Linked DNA regions of Danio rerio. Each later gene encodes a partner of the first gene's protein in a complex. Links are inferred from orthologs where the notes say so. Each region holds a gene or a part of one and is shown on either strand. Other genes may lie near its edges. The genes, in order: naa50 and hypk.

What was found.
Region 2: naa50 (region 1) and hypk share a complex: the UniProt entries of both Homo sapiens proteins name them as parts of the N-terminal acetyltransferase E (NatE)/HYPK complex. The link is inferred for Danio rerio from reciprocal best matches to the Homo sapiens genes NAA50 and HYPK.

What each region holds. Positions count from the first base shown.
Region 1 is NC_133199.1:25,053,238-25,059,713, reverse strand, and holds the start of naa50 (N-alpha-acetyltransferase 50), read right to left. Parts: upstream 4,499-6,476; 5' UTR 4,380-4,498; coding exon 4,372-4,379; intron 2,337-4,371; coding exon of another isoform or gene 2,334-2,336; coding exon 2,200-2,333; intron 1-2,199. UniProt on the Homo sapiens protein: N-alpha-acetyltransferase that acetylates the N-terminus of proteins that retain their initiating methionine. Has a broad substrate specificity: able to acetylate the initiator methionine of most peptides, except for those with a proline in second position.
Region 2 is NC_133182.1:52,248,216-52,254,531, reverse strand, and holds hypk (huntingtin-interacting protein K), read left to right. Parts: upstream 1-2,099; 5' UTR 2,100-2,104; coding exon 2,105-2,266; intron 2,267-2,923; coding exon 2,924-2,979; intron 2,980-4,442; coding exon 4,443-4,494; intron 4,495-4,567; coding exon 4,568-4,663; 3' UTR 4,664-4,780; downstream 4,781-6,316. UniProt on the Homo sapiens protein: Component of several N-terminal acetyltransferase complexes. Inhibits the N-terminal acetylation activity of the N-terminal acetyltransferase NAA10-NAA15 complex (also called the NatA complex).

The DNA.
Region 1 (6,476 bases):
GATAAAACAGTTAGTAGATATTTTGTATTTATTTTAAATAGTATTTATACTAGGGTTCAAGTTAGGAGTCAGCAGATTTGCTTTTGATCAAATTAATGCTTCATTTGGTCATTTGAAAGACCTGACTCCTTGATAGTTCTGAGATGTTTTTGCTACCAGCCATGGTACTCAGACAATCAATTTGTGCACCGCCCCAAACCATAATGAATAATTTGACATCAATTTCAGACAGAAAGAGACAAAAAAAAACACGTTTGATCAGGATGTGAAAGTGACTCAAATCTAAATGACAATAAATTATTAGACCCGTCTGAGTAACGGCTGCCTGTGTAGTAAGAACCATACATGTATCCCCACAAATTTTCATCTAACTTATTTATTAATGTAACTCGACTGCATGGTCTGTTTGTCGGACAATATAGTAAATGCCATTGGAGGCACATAATTTTGTCCTATGATTGGTCAGATATCCTGTCATTGAAAATAAACAAAACGTTAATCCAGCAAGGATGCAACGGTCATCGTAAGGTAGGACTGCACAATTAATTGGAGTTTTTCATGTGCAATTTGTCAGTAAAGCCAGCTCTGTAATCAGCAGTTAATATCCAGCAGCTGCTTTCAGATTGAGCAGCGTTTACTACACAAAGCTATAGTTCTTTACAGTTTAATCAATTCATAGAAGTTTAAAGATTTTAGTAATCCTGAAATTCAAGATAATCATTCTGCAGTTTGACAGCTGTTTGCATCCCTTCTTAGTGAATTTAGGCTCTGTGTTGCATGTGAAAATACCACATTTAACCCTTTCACGCGTGAGTTTTAAATACTCCAGCTGACCCTTCTGCATAAGTTTTTTTGTGACCATTACTTAGAATCCATTGAGTTCTTAAGTTCACATGGCGATGCATTTATTGTGACCCACCAGCCCTAATGATCTAATTGCTATATTGATGCAAGTTTACTTGGCTGTATCCTATTAAGACTTCAGCACAGTCTAGATCTAGATACCATTAAGTCTAGAGGGGATAGAGCTGAGGATATTCACACCAATATGGCATCATTTTTTGACACTGAACAAATTTTTACATTACCGTGAGGGTTGGGATTGGGGTAGATGCAAATAAAATACAATTTATGCAAAATTTAATAAATAATATTAATACTTCTCGTTAACTGCAAACTTATATTTATTGTGTATATTCATAAATTTCTGCTGAAATACATGAAGGGCAGCAAATATTTATCTGGGAGAGGAATAGAGAAAATATTCTAGTAACATAAACTGTGTATCTTATGTGAACAAAGCACATATTCCAGTTATATTGAAAAATAATGATTATTGCCATCTCCAAAGATATTTTTCAAACCTTAAATGGCATGTTTTGCTTGTAGTTGTGTATTTGAAAGTCTGAAATCTAAAATAAATGTTATTTGTTTGAAGCATGGATAAACTGTGATTTATGACAAGTGCTGAGCACTACATTCAGTGCCTCAGCATGCGCCTTCAGTTATGAATTTTCTAATCAAACCGGTGTGATCGTATGCTTCAAGGACCAGCCAAGGCTGAGATCATACACGTGAAAGGGTTAATTACATGGGTTTACTACAAACGTACCTCATAACTTCCATGGAGTGCTTGAAATAAGTTGTATAGTTTATTAGTCACGTTGAATCAATGAAACAGTTCCCTTATTTCTTTGCGGCAGATGTGCACCCTCTGGCCTTCTGAGGAGAATTACTAGTGATCACAGAGTCAAATTTCACTGACAGGATGTGCATGACAATCACAGCCTTTGATGAATTGCAATCTCCATTTCATTTTGATTAATCACAAGGCCCTAAAAAAAGACTTACAGAATTACAATATTTTTATTATTATCTGAGATTTACGGTGACTTATGTTCCAAACTGACTTATAAAATGCCATTAATGTAAAGCTATCAAAAAATGAAAAGCTTGCACGCATTTTGTTTGACAGTAAAGGATAAAATATTTGTATTTTGTTTTTACACTCACTGCTAGCTTCAGTTTATTTTAATTTATTTGGTCTTGACAATATATAGACTTTAGAATTTTTTTATTCGAAAAAATACTACACAAAATATTTCAGTTCTTATTATGTCCTGAACAGTTGAGTTACGGCTTTGTTGTGAAGTGAAGTGAATTCAAATGTAAGTGTTTTGCATCAGCGTTGTTACATACCTAGCTTGGCAAGCTCTCCCACTTCAAGAACATCTTTGTAGAACTTGTCGTTGTAGCTGACAGGGAAGATCACTTGATTCAGACGCTTCAATTGTTTAATGTTGTGGGGTGTAACATCCCCCAACTCGATCCGGCTACTAGAACAAAAGCAGAATGGTCAACTAGCTGTGAACTGACAAACAATGTCCTTTTCTTTACATGTCAGGTCAGCAAACAGTCCACATAAATGACAATATTACAGCTTTACTATTAGAAAAGCCCAAGATATTAGTACAATATCAGTTATCAGTTGATTCTGCTGCATACAAAGCGTCTATGGATATCCATTTTTACCTAATATTAGATTTATACATCATTGTCATTTGTGCTCATTGAACTTCAGGAACAGTAAAATTAATAATGTATACATGATCTTCACTATTTAATCACATTTAATGGTGTAATACTTAAATTACTTCTATAGTTGAATGCAACAGAGTATTTCATTTATTTTATATTAAAATTTGTATTGTATTTAAGCGATAGTTCACCTAAAAATTATAACTTTGTCATTGTTTCCTCATAGTCCACTTATGTCAAACCTGTTTGAGTTTCTTCTGTTGAACAAAGGAAGATATACTGAAAAATGATAGGAAAAAAACAGCCATTAATTTAAATTTGGTTTCTTTTTTCCGACATCATTTGTGTTCAACTGAAGAAAAAAATTTGTAAAAGTTTGGAAACACCTTAGATCGAATAAATGGTGAGAAAATTGTATTTGGGGGGGGGTGGGGGGGGGGGTGGGGGTGGGGGGGGTGAACTACCCCTATAATAACTTAGTATCAGCACATCCTCATTTATCTTTCGTGTGTGTGGGTGTGTGTGAGAGAGAGATACCCTAAAGGTGCACCCACAAAACTACACATTTCTTGTATAACTATGATCACCGTAAACCAGCAGTGCAAAAAGCAGGTATTTATAGGGAGGCAGCAAACTGAAGCCCAACACCAACAACAGCTGCTGGTCACATGTTCACCACTGCCACTGAACAACCAGCATGAGTTGACAGGAGAAAAACATACACACTAAATAGAGTTTACAGAACTTATGATCACAGAACAAATGCCTATACTACTATACACGGTCTTGAAATCAAAGTCCACTGATTAAAACAAGTTAGATAATAAAGTTTACCAATGCTTGGTAAAGCGATGAGAGTAAATACGTTTCAGATGATATTGCAGACTTTTAAAGCAATGGTGCACCACTTCTGTTCATGAAGGGCCCCTTAAAAATACATTTAGTATGTTTTTTTCTAGTGAAACACCTGATTCCCTTCAGCTCCATAGCAGAGACTCTTAATGGGTGTGTCGGATAAATGTGTACTGCTGGAGGCCTTCCAGGAACAGGGCTGGGTACCACTTTTTTACAGATGTGAATTCAAAACTTTAAAATATGAAATATTTTATGATATAAAACAGAATTGGATTTAGAATAAAAATTTAAATATCGCTGACTTTTCTTTATTCTACACACATGGTCACAGCAAACCACTACAGTGAGCTTAACGTAGCATATTAGACATATTTATGCATCGTTTCATCCATCAAACGTTAAAGAATCGTCCTTCATAAAGTGTTTTAAGACCGTATGAACTTGTTCTGTCATTTTCAAAGAGGACATGCTATGCGGCTAAGCTCACTCCATCACGTGTGTCACATTTCAATTCTTACATCAAAATAATCTCACATTAACCCCAACATGACAGCAACAAGCTTTAATACACTGCTATTAAATGTAACGATCCATCTGGGCGCCCATTTGGGAGAGGTTTCAGATTGGCTTGCTAACCAAGATAGCAACTTGAAGACTGACTCAACATTTTCGGATTTAGATTCGACACACGATCCAGTTTGGCACGGACTTCACTCGTGCCGTTTGTACTGGCATAAGATTTAATCTGGTGCTAGATTACATGAGGCACTTTTAAGCTATTTTCTGGAGATTTTGGGAAAAGATTAAGGTAAAACTAGGTGTAAAAACGCGGCGCAAATGTCTCTTCTCCACATTAAGCGCGCAGAGAGCTAACAGCTAGCATTAGAGCAACTCCACTGCCCCCCTGCTGGAAAAAAGAGAATAGAGAGGGGAAAACTTTACTTGAGAGGAATAGAGCCTTCTCTGTCGTCTACTCACCCTTTCATGTTGAAGAAAACACGTTTGTTGTGAGGGATACAGGGGCAGTTGGCGGTATTTGGCAGTCTAAAGGGAAATTTGGGCAGAGTTTGGGATGTGATCCCCTCCACATGTATGTTGCTAGCACACAAGCTAAGCAGTCCGCATTTGCCTCTGTGCTGTGGCCGAAGGTTGCCAAGTCTTTCCTATTAAACCAACACATATAACTTAGATCAGATTGTGAATTAGGAAAACGATATTTTAGTTGTTTTTTATAGTTGATTTATCGATAATGTTCATTTATAGATATAAATTATGTCATATGAGTTGAGATTGAACCCCGAAATAGGCATTTACGACTATACATAAGTAATTAGTCGGTGGTTACTGATGGTTGATTTGGCAACCTTGAATTCTGGGAGGCTGCTGCTGTCAACCTTCACCACTGACAACTAGCAACAGGAAATAGAAAAAAAACGGGAAATTGCGTTTTTGTGACTTAATAATACAAGTCTTATTGTTTTAATCCAAATAAAATGTTGTATAATCTCCTTCTCTAAAGACTTAGAAGGATTTAAAAAAAAATAAAAACATATTTCATGGACGTGATCTAATACAAGAATATTTTGTAAAATAAATAAAAGTGTTGTCCTTGGAATAAAACATTTATCTTCTCCCTGTTTGTGAAACCAGACCAGGTTTTATTGTTTTGAGTTTGTGTTGGCTTGTATTTCAAACTTATATTTAAACTCACAATACCGTGTTCAAAATTACACTGTTAAAAATTCCTTTATTTGCTTATTACAGCAAGATTTTGCCCCTTAGGTTACACAGATTTCACTCCACATATAAATGCATCAACTTGCTGCAATCTGTTGACTTATTATAGGTGCATATATTCATTTAATGTGTTCTAAAATTAAATTAATCTGACATTTTAAATGTATAGTCCATGACTGTCTACTTACACGTAGAAACACCCTTAAAAGAAAATGCCACCAACGAAAGTTACATTTTTAGTTTGAAGGGTGTAAGGTAAAATAATTTATTAATCACAGCATAGTATGCGATAGCCTAATCACTACTCTTCTTGAGTACTTTTAGAAAGGCTACTTTTACTCACACATCGAGTGGTATTTAGAAAACAGATACATTTACAAGTGTCTTGCACTGCATTATTTTGGCAAATAACAGTACTTATGCTTGAGTATGATGTTCAGTACTCTTTCCATCACTGCTTGTCAGGTAAACATGTGTTTTGTCAATTACAATACAATTACAATAGTCAGTTTAAAGGTAGGGGTGGCTTCTTCTTGGTTCGAGTCCCAGTTGAGCCAGTTGGGATTTGTGTGTGGGGTTTACATGTCCTCTCCATGTTCGCCTGGGTTTCCTCTGACAGTCCAAAGACATGCGATATAGGTGAATTGGATAAAACAAAATTGGCTGTAGTGTGTAAGTGTGTGTCAAGAGTTTATAGGTTTTTCACAGTGGGTTGCGGCTGGAAGGGCATCCGCTGAGTAAAACATATGCTGGATTAATTGGTTGTTCATTCCACTGTGGTGACCCCTAATAAAAAGGGACTGAGCCAAAGGAAAATAAACAAATGACTTTAGAAGGCAGTGTTTAGCATATAAGATGATCTGATCTGAACCATGCTGAACCTTTTGACACTTGAATACCAAGACAGAAAAGCCTCCAAAGATGATGCTTAAAATCACTTATTGGCAGAGAACATTTGTCTTTTGACTTGATCTTTCAAAGTGAGCTGAGTTGAGAGAAGAGCAAGCGATGGGAAGGAAGTGTGGAAGGAGAATCAAATTTAAATGACAGATTGAAGGGAAACAAGATTTGTTGGTGTGAAATACACTGTATTTGTACTGTCCATATGAGAAGATCAAAGTATGTGAATTACACTAGATTCAAACGTACGCTCTCTGGTTTCCATTTTCATGTTATATTTTGCAGCAATTTCTCTCTTTTTGGTTAAGCATTATCTCCACTACTTTTTTAAATGGACATTTCTGTTACCTCAAACATGTTACTTGTGAGTTCATTCATTAATTTACCTTCAGCTAGTCCCTTTACTCATCAGGGGTTGCCACAGTGGAATGAACTGACAACTTACC
Region 2 (6,316 bases), on another chromosome or scaffold:
ATAATAAATTAGCCTGCGTAATCTCTAAAAATAAAACATAGTTGAGTTTAAACTAAATAACACTGAAAGGTTTTATCCTGTTGTTATATTTTTAATTATAGGCTATTGCTGCTGTTTTATCAAATTTGTTTAATGTACAGACCCTCTATTTTGACACTTCAGCAGTGTGTAAACTGCACATTCTTATTACAAAGGTTTATTTTTTTTTATTTGATGCAGTTGTACTGTTTCATTTTTCTATCTTTAAATGAATATTTGTTTGTGCTGAATCTCTGTTGTTCAATTGTCATTTCCCTATTCTGTAAACAATATAACAGCCTTGAAGTGTCATTTATAAGATATTTAGTATGTTATAAATATTCCTCACTTAACAATGCATGAATAATCCTCACTCAAAACAATTGGAATAAAGCACACGCTGTAACTTTCCTCCTGAAAAATAAGATGTATTTGAATGGTTTATTAATCGTTTGTTTACACATTTGATGTAATTTCTACATCGTAGCTAATTTATTACGATGTACTTGTCAGAGGTGAGCTGTGTCTCCTTGTTTCTTCACATGCTCCATGCCTATCTGCCAAAGAGAAAGATATCAAGACTTTAATTAATCTCAATACATTTTTTTGGAAACTAACGCCATTGTGCAGTCTATTCCAGCACACAGAATAACGTCTTTATTCTGAGATGACCACTATTAATTAATACATATAAAGAAAAACTGTAACTAAACACATTCACTGGAGCTCTGGCCATTTGTACTGGGACACATGCCCCATTGGAGTCTATCGACACCCCTGCCTATAGTCTTCTCTCTTGCGTCAGATCAGGGTGTGCATTTACTACAGACATTATGAATTATTTACATTTAGTCATTTAGAAAAAGCTTTGGTCCAAAGCGATTTACAATAGAGAAGGCATACAGCGATTTAACAAGAAGAGGCAATACCTGCTAATTATACAAAGGAACTGTTTGTGCTCATATAAATGCTAGAGGGGAGGTGTGTTTTTCTTTTTTATATATATATGGAGTGATTGTAAGAATGTTTCTAATCCAAATGTGCAAAACTAGTGTTGCTTAAAGTGTCAGAAATTAAAAGATGTGTTTTCTACAGGTGGATTGTCAAGCCCCCTCACTTGTGCGAGGCACTCTCAGAGTTGATAATGTTTTGGGGTTGTCGTGTGATGAGGTGGGGGACGGAAGACAGATTTATAGTTTTGCACACAGGGGTTCAGGTCTTCTTAGGAGGCTTTTCTATGTGGAGTTTGCATGTTCTCCCCATGTCTGCATGGGTTTTCTCTGGGTGTTTCGGTTTGCACCACAGTCCAAAAACATGCGGTATAGGTGAATTGAATAAATTAAGTTTGTTGTAGTGCGTGGCATCCACCAGTAAATCAAATGGCAGAGTAATTGGCGATTCATTATGCTGTGGCGACCCCTGATAACCAGAGAATAAGCCAAAAAGTGAGTATTATAATAATTAGCAAACTGCAAAGAATTATAGTTTTATATAAACGGCTAATATTAATAATAATAATAAAAGGCGGCACAGTGGCTCAGTGGTTAGCACTGTCGCCTCACAGCAAGAATGTTGCTGGTTCGAGCCCCAGCTGGGTCAGTTGGCTTTTCTGTGTGGAGTTTGTATGCTCTCTCTGTGTTGGCATTGGTTTCCTTCTTGTGCTTAAGTTTCCCACATAGTCCAAACACATGCGCTATAGGTGAATTGAATAAGCCATAGTGTATGTGTGTGAAAGAGTGTGTATGGGTGTTTCCCAGTGTTGTGTTGCAGCTGAAAGGACATCTGCCGCGTAAAACATATGCTGGGTAACTTGGGGGTTCACTGCACAGTGGTGACCCCTGAGTAATAAAGGGACTAGGCCATCGTAAAATAAATTAATTAATTAATGAAAAAAAATTCATTAAATGAAAAAAAAAAGAAAGAAAATATTGATGTTATTAAAATTATTGTTATATATCAAACTGCAAAGCATTATCCTTTTATAATATTTTTACACACGTGACGTGACCTCATAGTGTGTTGCATGAATGTCAGTTCGGGTTTTTTTCATCACTGTTTTTCGTTCCGGCTGCGCGAGGAATCAAACATGGCGGCTGAAGGAGATGTGGATCTGGATCTGGAGGCTGAGGAGAACTGTACGGGAAAACCGACAGAAAAGCCGAGAAAGCATGACAGTGGAGCTGCTGATTTAGAAAAGGTTACCGACTATGCGGAGGAAAAAGAAATATCCAGCTCAAATTTGGAAACGGTGAGTTTTAAAAGCGAATGAAGCTAGTCAGGCTAGCAGTGAAGCCATGTGCACAGCAGGTTTCTGTATTAAAACTCAATGAACTACGATACATCTGATCGTGCAAAGTCTTAATTTTCAATGTCTTGATATTGTCAAGTTTATCGGCGGATTTTTCAACCTGTTGCTGATAGAGGTAAAGTTGGTTTTATATTCGCACATTCGTTCATTTAACTTGGAAGTATCTATATTTTTTACCATGTTACTTTAAATATTCGATCGGAATTAGCATGCCAGTGTGACTTAAAAACAACATTAACACTGTTTATTTGACTGTGAACAATGTTGTACTTTGATAGTCATTGGCTGCTAATATGATTTCACTGTTTAGTTGGCTAATAATACTTTTATGAAATTAAATTATTAAGGGGAAAGTTAGAATGTGCAAATATAAAACCAACTTTACCTCTATGTGTTGCTGAACTACCAAATTAGTAATTGAAACTCTCAATAAATAAGTTTGTGTAATAATTTGTGCTTTACTATGCCGAGATGTCAACGCCCTGAAAAAATGTAATTAGTGTAGGAAATTTAAAGAACAGTGTTGATCCTCTCAATAAAGTATATGGTTAATGTTTTGGGTTTTCAAAATTAATTTACGTAGTTGTTTTATTTAAGGCAATGTCCGTGATTGGAGACAGAAGATCCAGAGAACAGAAGGCAAAACAAGAAAGGTGAGCAATTCCCATCAATCCTTACCTTCATTTGAAGTATAATTCACTCAAAAATTTAAATTTGCTATTAATGTACTTTTTCTTGGGTCAGCCAAATTGCAACCTTTTTTTCTTAGTAGAATATAACGTTAAGCATTACATTATATCAAATGTTCTTGGTAGACAGAAGCTTTGAAAAATGACAATCTGCAAAAAGTTACTTACTTAATAGGTATAAAAACAAATAACGTTTTTGTTTTTTATTGTTGACATAAACGCTGAGTTTAAATAGGGATGCTCTGATCAAGATCATTACAGCCCATGTTGACTACTGACTCCGTGTCATGCAATTGGCTGATAAAGAGTACCGATTCTGATGCTTCAAGCTTTATATAATTGTGCCATTGCATAAAGCACATTTTTCCTCTAAGTATGATACTGAAGTGAAGCTTTCATCATACTGAGGAGAAAAAATAAAGCATGTATTCATGTAACCCTTTAAACATGTCTCTTATAACCATTTAGTGTGGACATGTCATGGTTAGGAGAGAACGTGTGTGTGTGTCTGTCAGTCAGCATGTCACCTTAAAGGGTTAAACGAATTACGCACAGCACTAAGTTTGCGCTGATATATTTCACTTGCATTTTAATACGTTTTGGTGCGATATATAACCCGCTATTAAAAAACAAACAAGCAACTAAATGTTTTGATTGAGAAGCTGTAATATAGCCATGGTGGGATGAATTTTGGTGTGGCCCCCTGCCATGGAAGAATAAATGTTGCTGAAACATTGGGTTAGATGTCTTGACTTCTTTTCTGTCCTTGGCCAATCACATACTCTTACTTTATTAGTTGGTGTAAGCCTTATCTTAACCAATTTTACATAGATGGAAATCTAAATTAAAACTAAGTGAATTGCTGAGTGTTTTCCAATATGCTATTATATATTTGAACATGCATTGTTTTTCTTTTACCAGGCATGTGTGGACTTTGCATGAAACATTAGGTCATGAAAATTTACTTAAGTCTTGGATTTTTAGTTGTAAAATGTGTATAACCCTGTCTCTTGTCCTGTTATCAGATCCCACCATGTCACAAATGATATAAGACTTGAAAAGGTACAAATGAATGTATATTATATAGTATACATTAAATATTTCATGATATTAGATTATGCAGTAGTGCATTTATGGTTTAAACTTTCAATTTAAAGTTTGCAACATGTTTAAAAAAGCAGTGTTTTCCCTGAGTTTGAGTTGCATTTGCATGATTTCGGCCAGCAGGTGTCCCTAGCATGTGCTGTTCCTCAAAAATATTCTTATTTTCAAAACTTGAAAAGCCTCACTATTGTATGTTCCGAGAGGGACTAAGAGTAAAATTAACAGCAAATTTTCATTTTTGGGTGAGCTATCGCTTTAACATTAAAACACACATTTTGCCAGAGAAAATACGTGGTTAATAAATGACAATGTCACTTCCACAGAGAAAAGGAGCTGGCCAAAGTAACAATAAAGAAAGAAGACGTGGAGCTCATAGTAAGTATAGAGCAGTGCATTCACTGATTTAGATGATTTGACGAGGATAAACATGTTAACGTGTTTCTCTCAGATGGGAGAGATGGAGATTTCCAGAGCCGTGGCGGAGCGCAGTCTGAGAGAACACATGGGGAATGTGGTGGAGGCTCTGATCGCACTCACCAACTGAGGAGATTGAAAGTTTTGAGCTGTATATGGACACATTGGACTGCCTTTTTTCCCGCTTGTGATGACCTTACCTTTTCCACACTGTACTTATTCTGTAATAAAGGAACCATTTTTAACAGCCCTCAATAGTTCAACTCACCCCTTTTCATGCTTTACATTCTCCAACCCCCCCTTTTTTTGGAAATGCATTCCAATGAGCTCAGTGTCACAGTAATTTATTACCATAAAACAACTAAAAGTACATTTTTTTTTTCTTTTAGAAAGTGAAACAAAAGCCTCAATTCTGTACACGCAATCAAACATTATCTAGATGTACTGGATTTCAACTGCAATAAACATCGAATGTCTTTGTTATGAGATTTCTCCTACTTCTGCACAAGACACTAGTAAACAGAGAGTGATGTAGAGGAGGGGAAAAGTAAAAAAAAAAGTGTCCTTGTTTGAGCTGAATTTGCTCTTTCTGGCGTGATGAACAGGATTATGTCTTCCTCTTCTGTACTGTTGGCCGGTCAAACACGTCTCTCACGCCCCCTGCCTTCTGTTTGAAGAACTTGCTATTCTGAGCACTTTCCTGAGCCCAGGCTGAGTCAAATGAAGTGGTGTCTTGATCCACCAAGTGTGTGTATTTGGTCCGTCCAGAACGTCCAAAGTTTTTGACCTACAAAGCACACAGATCATTAGTGAAATTGGCATTCACATAGATTCTAGACTATTAAAATGGAGAAGTCAGGACTATATTTAACTGCACTTTGCACAATCAACACAAAAAGAAAAGACTCTTTAAGGAACATTCCACTTTTTAAAAAAATAGGCTCATTTTAAGTTGCCTAGAGTTAGACCAATTTTCAATCCATTCAGCATATCTAATGGGAGAACTTTTAGCTTAGCTTAGACCACTGAATTGGATTAGACCATTTGGTTGTTTTTGCGTTATTTCGAGCAAATTCATTCTTCCGGTTTGAAAAAATTTTTGAAGCTGTGTCACGCCGATTAGATACTTGTGTGCATTCCAGCGTGTAAGCTGGCTGTCTGTACCTGGGAGGACTTCATGACGTTTCTAAATGTGCTGCATTAATTCATAAGAAAGGCTTGTTCAAACCAATCAGCATGCTCTATTGTGTATGCGGTGAAACTTCATTAATATGCATGATAGCTTCGAAGACTGTTTGCATCTGTACAGTATTCAGACGGCAGAGGGAGACACCACGTTGAGTTGCCAAAACAAGTTGGAGAAGAGTTGTTTGGAGATACGATTCGTCAGTGTTGCTTTTATAATTTGCTGCAAGGAAGGTTTTTGTTTTCATTTTCCCGTTATGAGAGCGCAACTGGACTCCTGTGTGGATAACAGTGCACGCGACACTCGGCAGAAATACGTGTCTAAGAAACATTGTTTACCCGAGAGATTTTCTCATCTGGAAATGGTGAAATGCGGAATTGCCGCTCGTCTCCTTTTAATAAAGACGCAGCTCCAGTTGAAGTTGATTGTCCTGTCTCTTACAGATTTGGTAAGTAAGCGATCAGTGGCCTTTGTTTATTCAGATGGCAAAGTTAGTTTGTATGGTCAGCAGTACTCTTTCAAGACTGACCTTAGTCAAATGACTTCTAAGTTACAAAAGTTTAAAGTATGTAAACATCACTACAGTAATATGGGCTG